Neodiprion lecontei: one gene and its partner. The protein of the gene in region 2 purifies or fractionates together with the protein of the main gene of each other region. This does not show direct contact. Links are inferred from orthologs where the notes say so. Each region holds a gene or a part of one and is shown on either strand. Other genes may lie near its edges.

Region 1 (9,583 bases), on a different chromosome or scaffold from region 2:
ACTAGATGTAGCGTTTTTTGTCAAAATATATCTGTTTTCATAGAACCTATCGAATTTAGGTATATACTATATATAATATATCACTGTATTATGAAAACTAGGTATTCACACTTGCACATTATTATCGTCCGTCGATTGGTGCTGAGGAAGAATCCCATTTCATAGACCGATCAATGGCCATTTTCCATTTAGAATATCGAAGATCCCTTTCTAAAATTTAACATTCGTTCATGATACTGACTAAAACGTTTTTCTGAAAATATAAATCAACTCCCACCATCAAGATTATCTCATACACACCATCGTCGCTAATTTGTGGTGAAAACTTCGTAATTTGATCAGCAACAACGTCATTGATATCCAATAGTCCTATACCAACACCAGCTAGTATGGCTGCGCCTAACGCGGTAGTTTCAACCATGTTTGGCCTCACTGTTAAAAAGAATTGCATATTTTGTTTTATTTACTTTTTGTTAAACAAACAACAAAAAAAATTCCTTTGCAATTCGAAACCGACTACAACTGACCCACGCTAACTCCGGTCAAATCGGCTTGCAATTGCATTAGCAAATTATTAGCCGTCATTCCACCATCTACTTGCAATTCAGTCAAACTGGTCCCGGCGTCTTCCAACATTGCCTCCAATATATCTCTGGTTTGAAAGCACACCGCTTCGAGTGCAGCTCTGATTATGTGATACTGCTGAGTATCTTCAGTAATTCCACATATAACTCTGTGCACAGAAAATTGTCAAAATTTTTAGTCGGATCAAAGAAACACAAACTAATTTTATATCTGTTGTGAAATTTAGCTAGACGATATAGCGAATGAAAAAACTTGTACATTTGCTTCTATGAGGTAAAAATTGTAATGTCACTTAAATTACCCTCTGGCATCCTGCTGCCAATAAGGTGCGTATAACCCGGAGAAAGCTGGTACAAAGTAGACGTCACCAGAGCAACGTACTCTTTCCGCCAAATCCTGACTCTCTGTGACGTTGGCCATAAGCTGTATGTTATCTCGCAACCAGGAGAGTGCAGCACCAGCTACCGCGACTGATCCTTCCAAGGCATAGACGGCAGGTGAGCGCCCCAATTTATAAGCAACAGTTGTGATTAGACCTTGACTCGAGTCAACTTTCTGAAAGCGTTGTCAAATGTTACACAGATTTAGTTTTAGAAGAAATCTTTGCATTTTAGAACGAATTTGGATTTCATATTTCCTTGGGATACATACCACATTCCCGGTATTATAGAGTAAGAAACAACCTGTGCCGTAGGTTGCTTTTGCCTGCCCTCGTTTCAGACACAACTGACCTATCAGAGCTCCCTGCTGATCACCTACACACTGTGTAACAGCATTAACGTTACAAACAGCAGTACATACAAAAAATTGAAGTGTTGACAGTTTTTCTCACGTTTTCTCAGTTCAAAGTATCGTCTCATGATTAAAGTTTTAGTACAGTAGAACCTCGATTACGTGAATTAACTAACCTAGTTCGTATAACCGAAATGCAATTTTTATGTTAAGGTATAATAATATATACAACACAATTTTAAATCCATAAACAGTCCGTTTAAAACATCTAAATACATATGAAACATCTTTCAAATACAGAATGCTTATTTTATTACTTTGGTTTTACATAGTCGTCTATTGTCAATTGACGAACAGCTCCTACACTTTTTTTAGCAAGCAACAATTAAAATTTCGTACCAAAAATGTATTTTTTGCGCCAGCTTTTGGATAATTGAGTGTTTGGATGACCGAGGTTCTACTGTACAACAGTTTGAGTATCAAAGTGAACAGACTGTTGGGATGACTCACTTCTACACAAAAGCAATCATTCATAGCTGAACTCACCCCTGAAATGGGTATTCCGCTCAAGACTTCTGGGTAAGAGATATGCCCATATATTTCGGAGCAGGATCGAATTTCCGGAAGGATATCCAGCGGGATGCCAAAGAAGCGACAGAGCAATGGATCCCACTTCAGGGTCTCAATGTTCATCAACATTGTCCGAGATGCGTTGGAAACATCCGTCATATGGAGTTTTCCTTGTGTAAGGTTCTGCAAATATATCGCAATTCTAAGTAAGGCAAAGTATTACTGATACATTCAATGTAAGAGTAGACTGAGAATTTTCTCCTCTCGTCTACTTCTTTCACAAATTTATTGAACAAACCCAAATCAGCCAAGTGTCGACAGTTCCGAAAGCACATCTCCCTGCCTCAACAGCTTGCTTAACTCTTGGAACATTGTCAATAAGCCATCGGATTTTGAGAGCACTGAAATAAGGAGATATGGGCAGCCCACAAAGAGGTTTGAGGTAATTCTTGTTCCTTGTATTATTCGGCACATTATCCAAGATATTCTCAATCGTGGTCGTGGTCCGCATGTCCAGCCAAACTGAAACGAAAAAACGTGCATTTAACAAGCTTTTCCAAATTTTAAATTTCTACTCACTCCAAGGTAATGGAAAAAGACTCAAAAGTGTGAGCGAGAGATTCTATCTACCGATGGCATTGTGCAAGGGCTCTCCGGTTTCCTTGTCCCATACTAAAGTGGTTTCACGCTGGTTAGTAATGCCGATAGCTTTGATATCCGCCTTGTCTATGTCGATCGCTTTCAACTTCTCTATTGTCTTAATGATGCACTCATGCACCGCTTTAAGTATCTCCTTGGCATCCTGTTCGACCCATCCTTCTTGTGGGTATATATTCTTTATCTCGATCTGATGTGAGGCGACAACTTCTCTCCGCCGAACACTGAACACCTGTAAATATAATCACTTTCTCAAATTGATTCATGCCTCGATAAACCGGGTGTGGCAATTGATCCAGTTCAAAGGTTTGACGCAACACCGGATGTACATTGAAACATGGCTTGCTTTATCTACTCATCAATACCCTTTTAAACCTTCAGTTCTTTGTGTCAAAACATACTAATTTACTTACTAAAAACCTGGCACTGCTCGTTCCTTCATCAATCGCCCCAACAAGAGGACCAAATCGTCCAGTGCTCTCTGGCATGTTTACATAAATTATAATGTGCGCATCAGTGAGTGCCAATCGTCCTACGATCGCCCTTCGTTCTATAGTAGCAGTTATGTAATTAGGATAATAAAACGGAGGCTACGAGATGAGTGATTTCATAACCCACAAATATGTTTCGTGGGCGATAAACAAATATCTAAGATCGATTGGGGTTCAACGGTTTCCCCGCATTATCTGTGGCTCTATGGTTTGTGGATCATAATACGAAGCTACGCATTCACGAGATGATACGCAGGATATGTGGATGTGTGCGTAGTTGCGGTAGTTGCTAATGAAATGAACGATGCGCTTTCAAACATGACGGAGACCTTGATGAGCTGCACACGTTGATAAAAGTCAAAAACACGTGGCAGTTGTCGGCCACGATTTTTGACGGTATTAATCATCTTTCGGAACACCATGAGGCGTCATTTGTTTAATCAGGGTGTTCGATCAAGGGCGTAAAAAAATAACACCAATCCAGAAGGTTGATTATTTTCTGTATTTATTTTCTCAATAGGCGTTTATGTCATATATTTATGTCACGTATGCAATCGTAACAGGAAACACGAGTTTGTCAACAAACTACGAGATTCGAGTCACGTCGCACGTTTGAAGCGCGCCAATTTTGAATCGGTGCTCATCGATGCAGGAAAAAAACCGAATTTTCAAAGCGAATGAGTAATCAAGATTGATTTCTTATCGTCTGATCGATACTCAGATCGGCCAGATCCACCAGACAGTCAGTGCATCGTTAATTTTACCATAATCTCGATGAATTTGTGACCGGATTTGAAATACCGCAAAAACCACAAATTTCCTAAACGAGCCCGCGTTGCCAACGTTTAGAAAATTTTCCGGAGAGCTGAAGAGTGGTAACATCTTCGATCAGGGGGGCGAGCGAGCACCGCGAGCACCCGTCTCATTTCACTTTGCGTTACCGGTAAGGAGTGTTGCTCATTACTTCATCTTCGCAAAATCATCTCTTATACCGATCTTAGGCCGTATTAGAATATCACAATAATAACGTTACAACCAACATCGCACAGTGATTTATATATATTCTTGTTTTTCAAACGTTACAGGAGGATTGATAGTAAACTGGCGGCGTAATAAAGATTTATTACCTGGTGGGATAACTTTATTACGGTAGAGTAAGTATCTTCTTTCTACCTATATTCATTTTTTTTCTCCCTCTCTCTGTCTCTCTCTCTCTCTCTCTATTTCACTCTCACACCATTCGCGCAAGTGATTATCATAATTTTTGAGCACTGTTGAAAACCCTATTAATTTTTCGATAATCATTTTTCAAATCTTAACCACGTCTCGGGTGTTAACAGGTTCGCGGAATAATAATGTGTAACTCGTTCGTACTTGGTCGTGGCTGAAAGATAATTCGGCATTAAAATTGATACTGAATTCAATGTAAAACCTTTTTTTCACACTCCCCCTCCTTTCCTCTCTCGTTTCTCACTCTCTCCCATATTCTCGATATGATTGAGATAAATTTTCGAAGAGGTTAGCAATCTCGTGACGTGTCAAGCAGGCACTCCATTCCATATGGTGGTCACTGGCTCCACTACTGGTCATTGACATGCTGGCATTCAATGGAATTTCACATTTAAATCACTTCAAAATACGGTATTCAATCAACCTCTACCGCGACATATTGTACGACAGAGGTTACTCACCAGCACGGATAATGTTACAATGACTTAATTAATTATCGGCGATCCAATTTCTCCTTCCGGTTGAAGATTTTTCGAAGTGAAAAAAAAACTTTTTCACGATAATTTACGGTGGGGTGTGTCACAAGATGATTTTTATTTTACATCCTTAATATCCTTACCACTTATTTATTTACCAGCGAAATATTTCGCGAAGTTGAAAGATTTTTTCCTCAAACTTGTCACGTTATTTTCCAAAATCTAATCTTTTCGAGACTTCCTGAATCTTTTTTTTTTCTCAGCTACAACCTTATCACGTTCTGAATTGTAGATAACGGGTTAACCTAAAAAAAAGTAAAAAAGAGAATACGAGAGAGTAATCCAACGCGACTTCTATATGCTTATGAATGTATGCGTGAATATTTGTGCTAGCTTATCACAATATTTCAGTATTTCCTCTCTGTTAGCAAGATTCTTATCGCCTCCCATACAAATGAGAGTTCTTCTAGACTCCCGGAGGAGCGAGGATAGAAAAGTTGGTTTAATGAGAATCTAAAACCTTTATTCCGAAGAGTAACCTACCTATTGCGCAAATGTTTGGCATCCGTCTCAAATCTACCACTTTATCTAACGTGCCAACTAATTATCAAAGAAAATGTCATCTTAGGATTATAGGTTTTACGTTTTTCCACCTCTGATGAGGTAAAAAAAATTGTACGACATGCAGCCAAGATTCAGTCTACTGTTTCCTACATCGCTAAATATTTACATGAAATATTTTTAATTCCTCTTGTTTTGTCGGCACAGTGCTACTGTAAGGACTTGGCACGAATTAGGACATCCCAAAAATGCAGCAGCAATCAGTAATGGAAGAGGGTACGGCCTTTGAGCCACCCACATACAGCTACGATGAGACCTTCCCGGTTCTCCCCGGATCAGCCAGCCCGATATCCAGCAGCCCCAATCCTCTTTCAACGAAAAACAACAGTATGCGTGTTGGTTGTTCGGTCGTTACACAGGTACTGATCATTATTGTTGCTACTTCTTAAATCTTAGTCTCAGATTGTTAATTTGCCATCTTGCGAAGTTTATTAGTTATCAGTGAATTTTTTTTTTATGAACATTAATTTTCAGGTTTTTCATGTTCCTGTTGAAGAGCGTAAGTTTGACCACAGTGACAAATTTGGTGAAGGTGAATCTGTGAGAACCTGCCTTGCAATAATGAAGGAAAGTGGTGCTCACATTGAGATATCTTCCTCCAAAGATCAGTCATTGACATTTTTAGTCACTGGCAAACAAAACGAAGTCTTGGAAGCTCGACGTCGTATTCTGACAACGTTCCAAACCCAGGTATACAAAAATTGCCTGACTGTAACACCTGGAAAATACAATACTTGAAATTCGATGTAGCCATTTTCTTCCCACCTGCCATGAAAATGTTCATGTCAGTCATTTGTTTGCTCTATTTTTAACAAAAACGTTGATGCTTAATAATGTTTATTTTATATATTTTTAAAGTACCATCATGCTGTATGGATATTTATTCAAGTTTTCAAAGCTGTCACTTTGTTATTTCTCACAACTGTATGCTTTGAACATGGATGTATTTGACATTATCGCTCAAGTTCAATCGGGCCTATTATTAACTTACTATGTAATTTCAGGCGAACAAACAACTCAACATTCCCAAAGAACATCATCGCTGGATCCTAGGAAAGCAAGGACAGAGATTGAAGGATTTGGAGAAGACAACAGCTACAAAGATTCAAATACCTTCGGTGCAGGATCAATCCGATACGATAACAATCACTGGCACTAAGGAAGGTATTGAAAAGGCTGAGCATGAAATCAAAGTGATTTCCGACGAGCAGGTACAAATTTGTTTGCATATCAAAAAAAGAACGTAGCCCACCAGTTTTGCTCGCGGATATTTGATAACAATATTTTTTCACTCTTGAAATTTCAGTCAAAAAAAGCATTTGAAATTGTTAGTGTGCCAACAATTTACCATCCTTTTATACATGGTCCCCGTAACGAAACTCTAAATGCAATGATCGCCGAAACCGGAGCGCGTATAAACATTCCTCCGCCGTCGGTACAAAAAGATGAAATAACAATAGCAGGTGAAAAGGAAGGCGTTCTAGCAGCTAAAGAAAAGATCGAAGCTATCCACAGAGACATGGTACGATTTTTGGTGTTACATAAAGTTTAATGTTTACATGTGAAATAATATTCCGGTCCTTGAAATGTATCCCTGATTGAATTTTTAGGCGCAAAGATGCACAACGGTGTCCGTTGAAGTGCCAAAATCTCAACACAAGCACGTCATCGGACCCCGTGGTAGTACCATTGCCGAAATACTGCAGCTTACTGGCGTAAGTGTAGAAATGCCTGCTGCAGATTCAGCAACAGGAACTATAACCCTTCGTGGACCACAGGAGAAGCTTGGTCTTGGTGAGAATCGATGCAAATAATTCATTTCTGAGAATCTATTGATTCACCCTTTGTTGTAACTTACAAATGAGCCTTATCTTATCCTATTTTTTTTTTTTTCTCAGCATTGGGCAAAGTTTATGAGAAGGCAAACAGTGTCCGTAGCACAACGGTCGAGGCTCCTGCTTGGATCCATAAATACATTATCGGCCGCAAAGGAGCAAACATCAAAAAAATAACCCAAGACTTGAGCAACGTTCATGTTGAATTTACCAACACAGAAGATAAGATCAAGATTGAAGGACCCCCTGAAGATGTAGAAAAAGTTCAAACTGAACTGCAAAACATGGTCACTGATCTCATCGACAAGCTGACATTCACCGAACTTAACGTTGATCCCAAATTCTACAAGCATATTATCGGAAAGAATGGAACGAACGGTAAGCAAGCAGTCGTTATTTTTTACTAAACAATCTTCGTCAGTTTTCGCATGTTTAAAATATTTTCTAAACGTTTTCTAGTTAATCGTTTGAATGAGGAGACTGGAGTCGTGATCAATATATCTGAGAACGACGGGAAAAATCTTATTCGCATTGAGGGAAATTATGCTGGTGTAGAAAAAGCTAAGAAGGTAAGATCATTTTGCGATGTGTGAAATATATGTACCAATACGAAATGTTGATTATCAGGAACTCATGGAGATGGTTGAGAAATTGGAAAATGAAAAGGAAAAAGACGTTATAATTGACCATCGTTATTACCGCAGCATTATTGGAAGCAAGGGGGATAACATCAAAGAAATTAGAGACAAGTTCAATCAAGTGCAAATAACTATCCCTGGACCAGGTAAAATATCGTTCAATATCACGTAGAAAAATTTGTAATCGAAAGTATCCTTTGCCTTATGTACACTTTTTTCATTCTTATAGGCGAAAAACGTGATGTGGTAAAAATTCGAGGCCCCAAAGAGGACGTGGATAAGTGCCACAAACATTTGATGAAGTTGGTCAAAGAGCTTAACGAGAATAGCTTTGTCATGGAGGTTCCTATTTTTAAACAATTTCACAAGTTTGTTATAGGTAAAGGGGGCGCCAATATTCGCAAGGTTGGTTTGGAACTATCATGTTCTTGATAATTATTACCATCTGATATAATCAGGCGAACTTGGAAAAAATATATACCTATATACTTATTACATAAATTGTACATGTATGTATTTTCCAATTAGATTCGGGAAGAAACTCAAACGAAGATTGACTTGCCAGCTGAGGGTGAGAAAAGCGATGTTATCACTATAACGGGAAAGAAAGAAAATGTTGAAGAGGCTAAAGAAAAAATTCAGAAGATCCAAAATGAATTGGTAAGGTTTATTTTTTCCAGAATTTCTAATTGAATATTCTATTCACTACTTTTCACCTTATTACTTATTAATTCCAGGCAAACATAGTCACTGACGAGATTGTAATACCTCCAAAGTTTTACAATTCACTAATTGGAACTGGAGGAAAATTAATTCATTCCATTATGGAAGACTGCGGAGGAGTTGCTATCAAGTTTCCAACCGCTGAGAGTCAAAGCGATAAGGTAATTGTACACCTGGGAATGATATTTCGCTTCGCAAAATGCATTGGTAATTAGAATAGAAGTAAAATATTGCTACTATTCAATAGGTCAGCATCAGGGGGCCAAAAGATGATGTTGAAAAGGCAAAACAACAGCTTTTAGAATTATCCAATGAGAAACTTTTATCTAGCTTCACTGCTGAAGTTCGAGCAAAGGCCCAACATCACAAATTCCTTATCGGAAAAAGTGGTGCGAATATTAAAAAGGTAATAAACGATTTGGTAATCTCATGTCCGGTCGAGTGTTACTCGTGATTTGACGTGAGCAATTTTATAATAACGATATATCCCCCCCCCGCCCCACAGATCCGAGAATCTACGGGAGCACGAATTATTTTCCCAACGGACAAAGACGAGGACAAAGAGGTCATCATGATCATTGGCAAGCAAGATGCGGTCGACAAGGCCAAAGCTGAGCTTGAATCTACTATTAAAGAAATAGTAAGCTTCCGTGGCTTGAATTCAATTCAAAACACAAAACAAAAGTGAATAATATAATTAATCGAAATTATTCTCTTAGGATAATATCACAGAAAGTGAAATCAGCATTGAGTCCAAGCATCACAGACACTTCGTGGCTCGTAGGGGAGAAGTACTTCACCGAATCGCAGAAGAATGTGGTGGAGTTCAGATCTCTTTCCCACGCGCTGGTGTCGACAGCGACAGAGTTGTCATCAAGGGAGCGCTTGAATGTATCAAAGCTGCGAAGCAGCGTATGCTAGAAATTGTCCAAGAGTTGGTAAGAACTTAATTTCTAACTGTAACCAATCCTTCTAACCTTCTAATCAATTTAAACCTGAAGCTGTATTTTGCAATATATATTTAA
Region 2 (9,817 bases):
GTTTATAACCTAATCTAACGTACGGTAACCGTGAGATATTCCTGTACAATTTGTTACTCTACGAAACGTTGAGCAACTTTAGATGTTCCTTTCTCTCTTTCCTTATAATTCGCAATATTTTGTGTAATTTTTTTTGTAAACTGTCGTATCCACTAGTACATGGAGTCAAATTTTCTAATACGTGTATGGAACGCCCTTCAAAAATATCTCCTTTTATGGCAGGACTATCAACAATGCTAAGCGTCTTCACAACTGTAGCAAATCTTACATGCAAAGGCCTTTTCTTTGGCAGTCAACCACTAGATTCAACGAATTGCATAAACGCAATATGTTTATACAAACTCAAGACACGCCAAATCCCAATAGTTTGAAGTTTCTACCTGGAGTTGCCGTCCTCGAACCAGGACAAACAATGGATTTTCCTACAGGATCAGATGCATATTGTTCGCCATTGGCAAAGATGCTTTTCAGAATTGAAGGAGTGAAGTCGATATTTTTTGGGTCTGATTTCATCACTGTAACTAAAGTTGACGAAGACGTCGATTGGAAGCTCATAAAGCCAGAAGTATTTGCTACTATAATGGATTTTTTTGCTAGCGGATTGCCTGTTCTTACTGAAGCACAGCCATCGCTAGATACAAGTAAATGAATTGGACAATTTCATGTGATCTTTTATAACAATTACTCTCAATTGTTTTCTATTCCTAATTGTAATTCATTGACGTTTCTGAATTAGAGATTCAGGATGATGACGATGAAACTGTTCAAATGATAAAAGAACTTCTTGACACAAGAATCAGGCCCACAGTCCAAGAAGATGGAGGAGACATTGTGTACATGGTACGTAAATCAAGTATTGGATATAAAACATTTCTTTCTACTTCAACCATCAACTGTTTTCAATTTGAAGTTACAAAATACTTTTTATTGCCACAGGGTTTCGTAGATGGGATAGTAAAGCTAAAAATGCAAGGTTCTTGTACCAGCTGCCCCAGTTCCGTAGTGACATTGAAAAACGGTGTGCAAAATATGATGCAATTTTATATTCCTGAAGTTCAGGGTGTCGAACAAGTCGAAGATGAATCAGATCGAGCAGCGAAGGAAGAATTTGAGAAATTAGAGACAAAGATTCAGACAAGCAAGACCAGTAACGAACACTAGAGCAAAAGATCTTGAAATTACTTCTATTGATTTTTAGAATGAATAGCATCTTGTAATATACTTAATACTGATATTCATATCTAAATGTAACAGCTATTTGTAAATAGAACAGTTTTTATTCGTTGAAATATGTTGTGATAATGGGGAAGTTTCGTTAAATGTTTTTATTTCATATTTCAGTAGTTGAGGGAAAAATAATGCTGGTATATTTTTTTGTTCTTCATTTAAAACAAAGTTTAAGCAGATACAACAGGTTGAAGGAGTTACTGTGTGATGTTATCAATGCTAAAGTATATTTGTAATTTAATATTAGCAATTATCATTTTTATGGAAATCAGGGAATATCACCAGATTACGTTTAAATACCTTACTTCATGCAAGCAGGAAACTTTTTCATAAAACCTCTACTTACTCGCATAAAAAACTGTAGTGACCAGTTCAATTGTTGTTTTATTTCTTCAATGCTCTGTAAACAGCAGACAATAGTAGATTAGACCGAGGTATGAATTTATGTAGTTTAATATTTGTTGAAATTCATTAAAAGACTGAAACGAGTTATTTCGTTTAATTTATCTCTATGCCTGACGATATTTGTCTTATCTAATCTTAACACATAAAAATCTGGTAAATACTTGCCAAACTATCGGAGTGTTTTGTCCTGACTAAAGATGACACAGGACGACAAATTTTTAGGAAATAAATTGAATGAAAAAATTTCAGTCAAAATTTCACAAGTCTTAAATCGTCCAGCTTATTACCTCTACATTTTGTTCAAATTCAATTCGAATTGAAAAAAAAATTTCTTACCTTCAAGTAAAGACAAGGAGGAGGGTTATAATGATAGTTCAGTTAGAAGTATAAACGCAATGATATCGATGAAAACGACAATGTATAGGACCACTAACTACCATAATATAAAACAGATCAGTTTGAACCAACTTTTTCTTTACGAAAGAAGTAAATTTGTCACTTCACAAAATCATTTCTAATTCAAATTTAAGAATATTAATATTTTCAAACTTTTTAATTAGGGAAATAAAATTTCACTGGCAATTCCAGGTTTTCCAAGTGTGTGGCCATCCTGTAATGGGCATTGGCGACTAGGCTTGGAATTAATCAAATAAATAAAATTTGATAAAATTTCTCAGCTCCTTTATTCAGTATAGTATAGTACAAAGCATTTATCGACTGGACACAGACACCTGCCAAACGCGAATGGTGTTGTCCGAGTAACCGGCAAACAGCGTTTGTCCGTCCGTGGACCAAGCCAAAGAAAGACACTGAGCGGGCTCAGCCTTGCTGGTGGCAGACACAACTTCGGGTTTCAGTTCCTCGACCATTTCCTTGCTTTCAAGATCCCAGATCTTGATCGATGGCCCGAATGCGGCACAGAGCCAATAACGGTTCGGGCTGAAGCATAAGGCGGTGATGATGTCGTTGTGATCCAGCGTATGCAAGTGCTTTCCATCATTCAAATCCCACAGCATTGCTTTGCAATCCTATGAGAAAGGTAAGCAAATAAGAGTATTAGTGATAATCCCGGAAATAGTGAAAGTCAGTAAGAGATTGGTTTATATTTAGTCAGTCCCATATCCGTAAACACTCATGGATATCATGAATTAGTTGTTTGCATCATATTTTATTGGTAAAAATGGATTAAAAAAGAAAAGATGTAGTGTAGAATGAATAACCAAATATAAGTAAATATTATAAATTTTTACCTTGCCACCGGAAGCACAGAGGGAACCGTCTGGAGAGACAGTTACTGTGTTAAGGTACCCAGTGTGCCCATTATGGTTGATCTTTAAACGACAGTTCGTCAAGTTCCAGACCTGTGTATGATAACAAGGGAAATATTGTAAGGGAAAATTGCATAAAAATTTGAAATGTTTTACTTTGGAACAATTAATCAGTCCCATATCCGCTAACACTCACAGAGTTCATGTTTTCCAAAGATTTACATCATTTAGAATATCTTAAATTTTCAATAATTTGTAAGTACAAGATAAAAATGCTTTGACCAAAATATTATCAAACTTTTCCAACAATGAAAATCACTAAAAATTGTTCAAATTATTTGCAAACCATGTCTATGAATTTTTAAAAAAATGCCTCATTATCGTCAATAATTTTACATTACTCTGATCAATATTTTGGTCTGTGGATGCATTGAAAAGTCTCAATTACATGCAAAAATAATATACGACATAATGTACTTAAATTGCAAAGTTCACAAGACATGACTGGAAAGAAAATAATAGTTAGAGCCTTTGCTGTACTTTGAATGAAGCAATTGAATTTCATATTATCAAATTAAAAATTGCAAACAGAAAAGTCGTAGTTGGAATTCATAGTTACCTTAACAACGCGATCCCATCCAGCAGAAACAATGATGGGATTGGAGTGGTTAGGAGAGAATCGAACGCAGCTGACCCAATCACTGTGACCATCATCTTGAATGGTGTATTTACATTCGGCAAGTGTGTTCCACAACTTGATAGTCTTGTCTCGAGATCCAGAAACAATTTGCCGATTGTCTACAGAGAATGCGACGCTGAGGACATCCTGTTGAATGAAGTAAGATTCCAATATTTAGTTCCAAATGAAATATGACAGAACCAATTGAAAATTTCGTTTAGAATCAATATACATACAGTTTGCAGTACACAAAATTCTACATAATAGATGTGATGGAAAATAATAAAGAAAAAAAAAAAAAAACCTTTCTAAAATCCGCTTTTTTCCAAGTCGCATCAGAATCGACAATTTCAAAATTACAACTAGTACTCACAGCGCAGAGATATAGCTACATCATCCCACCTCTTCTAAATACCAAAGAATGAAAAAAAATATATACAAAAAAGCTTCAGTATATTCCTGTTTCTCGAAGATTCTTCGGCCATAGCATAAGAAATAAAAAAAAAATATGAAAAAAAAAGCTTCAGTGGTTTGTACATTTTTCACAATATTTGTTCCCCTCTCGAGATGGATTTGGGTTTAGTCACACCTTGGTATGGTCTTCAAACCTCCTGGTTGTGCGACCCGCAGCCAAATCCCAAAGACGCAGAGTCTTGTCCCATGATCCAGACAAAGCGTAGTTACCATCAGATGAAAGCACGACATCACTGATAAAATGCGAGTGACCATAAAGACGCTTTTGTGGTATACCATAATTGGCATCATCACGTGTTAACTTCCATACGATCAAAGTTTTGTCTGTGAAATTAATGTCATACAATTTTATTTGAAATATACTTCCACTGGACCTATGTTAAAGTGGCAAACTTTCTAAGGACAAGTTATATTTGGATGTCCACACATGATAATCATCTAGACATACACCAGGCATGAAAAGTAGCAATTTAATCATACAAATACGGACTGAACAACATCAAAAGGTGGAACTCCAACAAATAAAGACATACGAAGACACTTTTCAGAAGCCAATAATCTTAAGTAGCAGGTATTTATTTGTGTTGCATTAAATAAACTGCAAAATTAATTTGTAAGCAAAGATAATAATAGAAGAGAGGTGGGAATGTCGCAGGATTAACACGTTGTTTTTGCAGCGTGACGATCTCAGATGTTAGAATATTGTCGGCATTATACAGTATGGCAGTCAAGACTTACCGCGTGAAGACGACAGAATCATATCAGGATATTTCGGGTTGGTTGCGATTTGGGTAACCCATCCATTGTGGCCTCGAAGGGTCCCTCTGAGTTGTAAAGTTTCCGACATTTTACCGTACTTTCAACGTTCCTTGATGAACGGATCACTTGGATTCGATATCACTGACCGCCTCCAACGCGGCGTTGAACAGAAAAGGCAAACAGGATATACGAGCAGCAAAGCCACGCGGCATCCACAAGTTAGCGGGAAGGGAGTCTGTGGAGGGGGAAATTAAGCCGCCCTTTCACGAAACTCATTGTCTAGCTATTACGTGTTTCCATTGTCTAGCTATATTTACATACAAGATGATCAAATATCTCAACTCTTTCTGTACCAAAATAAAATTAGTTTATTCACGAGTTTACACTGAAATCTTCCACATGGGATGTCAATTTTTATGTTCCCCCGTGTTGCGGTAATCAATATATCTACAGCCGAAAATTCTTGAAAATATTCACTACTGCATGATGAGATTTACAACTTGGTCGTTCGAATAACAGTTCTATGGTTATTTATCGAATAGGTATTTACAGCCTCTGTAAACTGGTTGATATACCCACGTATTGCTTCTATAATACCTGGCGGACATGATATTTGTGGTTTTCAGAATTTTTTACGATATCTGTAACTAATCGCCTTGCCACTAATTCGAAATAATTACTGCAGAAAAAAGAAAACCACCTAGCACACGAGAAAACAATAAAACGTACAGGTTCGTTTTGACGTTAACCAATCAGAATTTTACAAGAAAACCGATTACTATTATTTTGAAAATTCATCAATCAATTTGGTTTCTTGCCATTTCTTTCAGATTGGATTGTAACGGAATTTTAATTTTACTCGTCATGTGATATACAAATTCGGTAGGCCAATCCATTTCTATTCCATTTTACATGCAAATTGAAATTTACCTCAAATGAAGATGATTACGAAGATTAGTGCTTTTATAATTTTCTATTGGTTGCTTTCTTTTTTCAAACCTCGTCAATCCATGAAGAAAGATTCCAAACATTTGCACAGGTCGATTCAGATTGATTTCCTCATTACGCAATACGTTTTTTTTTAAATTTCAAATTGGCAGACATCAATATGAATCTGTTTTAATACGTTTCAATATTTTTTAATTTATTGGATAATCGCTTGTAGAAACTTCGGAACTGATATTTTTATTCTCTATAATAACGTATGTTATGTTGAACTATCTATCCAACTTTGATTACAACCGCCATCAATTCGGATTTTTTTTAACTGCTCGTGAAGTAGTCAAAGATTGCCAATGATTTCTGAATGAACGGAATCAACTGATGAAGAGTTATAAGAAAAAATAATGAAAAAAATAAACCGCAATGTAGGCATTCCATAGATCCTCGATCCTACATATCCAATTCTGCAATTGAATATGACTGTATAATTTTTAATTCTTAGAGTTGTTCATGTTAAATAAATGAGACATTACATTTATATGGTCAAAACATTTATATAGCCGTTTTATACATATGTAAAAATAATGCAAATTTCTGAATCTTTTAGCTGTAAGTATGATCAAACTTTTTTAAATTTTCTACTGCGCTACCCAGGCAAGATCAAGCGTAGCATTATTTGAAACTTGTACAGTTCATCGTAACATCAAGTAACCATATTATGACTACGGGCAAGCAATTGTGACGATGGCGTTTTATCGAACATAATTGTCTTAAAATTTAAATTCAATTACGAAAAACGTAAAAATACCAATTGAGGCAGCACCAACTGCGATCAGCATATGCAGACGCGAGCCGGCATCACATGTTTACAGGTAAGTGTATAACCAGATAAATAATGTTCTAGGAAATGATATACAATCATATACACAGGTTACCAGATGGAAATTCAGTTGTAATTCATTACAGAACGTGTTAAATATTTTCGCGGAAGCAGTTTCGTAGTCCAATTCCATATCGTGTCAAAATTGATTTCAAATTCTCCCGCGACAGGTAGTCATAATAGTATCTAAACGACACACCCCATCGAACCGTTGCAGAGTTGAAGCTCCGCCAATAGCTGACAGACCAAAATGAAAAGTAGTTTCATTAATTTTCATAGACTCTGATCATAAGTTGACGGATATCGGTACTTCCCTCGATTTAATTACAATAATTAAGGGCAAAAGAAATGATCGTGACACTTACTGCAAAGTTTCGCCACAAGAGTATACTTTGAATCCGATTGGCGGGCCGAAATAAAAATGCTTTACGATTGGCCAGAGCGAGACAGCCTAGTCGATCCAAACCGAATCTCGGCGAGCGATGCCGAGCGGAAGAATTTAAACGTGACGTCACCCGATCATCACTATTTGTCGGCCATTTTGTGAGTGTGTGGTTGATTGAGATATTTGTGTTGAAATAATACCGGAGCGAAATCGAATGGATTTAGTTTATTGATAAGATAGTTTCCCGTTGCGTTACATGTGCTAAGTGTCAACCGGGTATTGAACATTGCTTAGATCCAAACGATGGAGGAGAAGGCAGTGACGTCTCTGAAAGAGCTTGACCAATGGATCGAACAGTTGAACGAGTGCAAACAACTGACAGAAAGTCAAGTTAAAACTTTGTGCGAAAAGGTGAGCTGGCCGGAGATTTTTCACCCCAAGTTCCTTCATTTCCCCGTTGACTTTCCTAACTTCTTTCCTCCCTGCCGACAATCTGCATCTCTATCCACGCCTATCGCGCCTCGACATCGCCTCCCGGCTAAAAAACCTTATCCAGCATTTTATTCGGTACACAACCCTCGCTTCTCCAAACATTTCACACCAAATCCTTTCTATCACCGATCGTCCCACGTCTTCTTAGGCGTATACGATTGGCCGATATGTCATCGAAAATTGATAGTCACTCACCTTGAATTACGGCTAACGACCAACGTCCCCCGTTCGCCGAGCTCGAATACACGGCGGATAAAATTATCCAACGATTAACCACGCCGCCGTTTGTTTTACACGGAATCGGATTAACTTCCACACCGCGAATTTTTTCCTCTTACTCGCTGCTCATTTTCCCTGTAAACCACATGTTATATTCCGCACACTGTAATAACGAGTAATTTTGTTTTAAACGATTTTATTATTTCTCTATGTATATTTTATGTACTGACGATTTTTTATTACACTTTTTATCATTTGTTTGTCGAATAACACATCGAACTACGTCATTCTGCGATGTCGCGATAAATTTTAAACAAATAGTAATGAATTCAACTTCGTTTCACGCTTCCAATAGTTTAACTTATTTTTAGCATTAGTAGATTAGCAGTAGAGGATTACATATTCGGTATTTCGTACGTCGGGCAATATTTTCTCTGGAATAGCAGATCTACGAAGAACATTCCTGCAATACAATTTCATCAACGCCTGTTACTAATATTTTATTCTACACAATCTTTCAAAGGTCGGTATCTGTGAAACCCTTCTGCTCACAGCTGACAACAGTCAAAATAAATGCGAATACTTTGACGTTTTAATACCCACGCTGTGCTCAGAAGATATTTGATACCTTGGATACGATTATTTTAGGTCAAATCCATAGTACGCTCCACTGTGATCATTTAAATACCGATTGGGCCGTTTTGAATAATATTATTACGTACTTGAGGACGAAAGACTTTATAGCAAATAAAATAAGAATTATTTGTATTATTCCTTTTCCAAATTCATGGGATACTTACTGTGTTACAACATTCAGATATTCCACTGTTTCTTATTGTCTAACTGCGGAAAAATTCCGATATTTTTCAACCCTAATAGTCATTAGTTAATTTTGTACTCGTAAACACTCAGGGACAGTAGATTATTAGTTCGAAAGTCTAAATAATCAAAGAATTCTTATTAGACAAGAATGATAGAAATCATTTGTAATCGTTACCTGTTGAAAATGGTCTTATGTAATTAATAATCCTCATTCTAGAGTCCTTATAAATTTCAGGAAAATCTTTGAACTTTCAGAAACAAATCTTATTGAATACCTTGTTTCATAATTAAGTAACATGTTTTTCGAATCAAGTTCAAGGTTTATTAGAACTATTTTATAGTATTAAGGTTCGTAGAACAAACAGCATTCAACAGAGTTAATGCTGAAAAATATTACATCATGACCCTAAAATTTAAAAAGAATTTAATGCCAATGAAGGTCAATTCAGATTTGTTCACATTTTTTTATCATGCCAGCGAACTTTTCAGCTAGCTCCGACAAGTTTTATAAAATTTCAATGTTCTTGCTAGAAGTTTCAAAAATATCTCTACTTTTTTTATTAAAAATATTTATTTAATTCACTATATTTCAGACAAATCTAAAGCTGTGACATGATGATTTTTCCAGGAAAATGGATCATGACCTGAACGTTACAAACTTTCACCTTATCATTCTTTGTACATTAAAAATTGATCTTGTGAAATGAAGAATCTTTTCCTGCAAACACGAAATAAGTAAACAAGTTGTATGGCCTTGCTGAACCACTTTGATAACTTCGAATTCTGTAGTGATAGGTATTTAACAGATTATCAAATGTCCAGAATGCAGTGTTGAGATAATTTGAAGAAGTGACTCAACTATTATGACAGAAAGAAATTTTTCTCATCGCTCAACTCTTTAGTTATAACTCGGTTCAATTCCAGAACCGGATTTAACGTATGTTTTACGATCATCCAAAACAAGTTTTACTTGGAATTCAGTGGACTGGTATATAATATGTCATAAACTTTGAGAATTAGAGAAAATATCCAGATCTAATCATGTTGATATTAGTTTCTAAAGATATTACATTTTCGTGACGATGATTGTTGTATAAACATAACCAAACAACAGTTCGTTAAAACAGTAAAATGATAAGTTCCTGAGCTTTGGTTGGTCATAAAAACGCCTCTCTTTGTTAGATAAAATTTGAATTTTTCATTAAAAGAAAACTACGACATGGGTAAAACTGTGTGATTTCCCACTTTTTGCAATTAATAATTGT

Evidence for each region.
Region 1: the proteins of guanine nucleotide-binding protein subunit beta-like protein (region 2) and vigilin purify together in Homo sapiens (affinity purification with mass spectrometry; 3 studies listed by BioGRID and IntAct, with this or other methods). This does not show direct contact. The link is inferred for Neodiprion lecontei from reciprocal best matches to the Homo sapiens genes RACK1 and HDLBP.

Annotation. Positions count from the first base shown.
Region 1 is NC_060261.1:2,441,935-2,451,517, forward strand, and holds the start of vigilin, read left to right. Parts: upstream 1-3,941; 5' UTR 3,942-3,978; intron 3,979-4,120; 5' UTR 4,121-4,189; intron 4,190-5,509; 5' UTR 5,510-5,550; coding exon 5,551-5,721; intron 5,722-5,836; coding exon 5,837-6,052; intron 6,053-6,366; coding exon 6,367-6,573; intron 6,574-6,668; coding exon 6,669-6,884; intron 6,885-6,972; coding exon 6,973-7,156; intron 7,157-7,260; coding exon 7,261-7,575; intron 7,576-7,656; coding exon 7,657-7,766; intron 7,767-7,824; coding exon 7,825-7,981; intron 7,982-8,064; coding exon 8,065-8,240; intron 8,241-8,363; coding exon 8,364-8,495; intron 8,496-8,572; coding exon 8,573-8,719; intron 8,720-8,805; coding exon 8,806-8,964; intron 8,965-9,063; coding exon 9,064-9,198; intron 9,199-9,277; coding exon 9,278-9,496; intron 9,497-9,583. Other genes in the region: glycerol kinase, read right to left, coding at 122-210, 301-432, 528-733, 887-1,140, 1,237-1,347, 1,864-2,070, 2,186-2,409, 2,518-2,776 and 1 more. UniProt on the Homo sapiens protein: Appears to play a role in cell sterol metabolism. It may function to protect cells from over-accumulation of cholesterol.
Region 2 is NC_060262.1:7,954,615-7,964,431, forward strand, and holds guanine nucleotide-binding protein subunit beta-like protein, read right to left. Parts: upstream 4,998-9,817; 5' UTR 4,901-4,997; coding exon 4,792-4,900; intron 4,378-4,791; coding exon 4,169-4,377; intron 3,727-4,168; coding exon 3,520-3,726; intron 2,994-3,519; coding exon 2,883-2,993; intron 2,661-2,882; coding exon 2,343-2,660; 3' UTR 2,297-2,342; downstream 1-2,296. Other genes in the region: NFU1 iron-sulfur cluster scaffold homolog, mitochondrial, read left to right, coding at 223-641, 737-840, 937-1,161; serine/threonine-protein phosphatase 2A catalytic subunit beta isoform, read left to right, coding at 7,323-7,430. UniProt on the Homo sapiens protein: Scaffolding protein involved in the recruitment, assembly and/or regulation of a variety of signaling molecules. Interacts with a wide variety of proteins and plays a role in many cellular processes.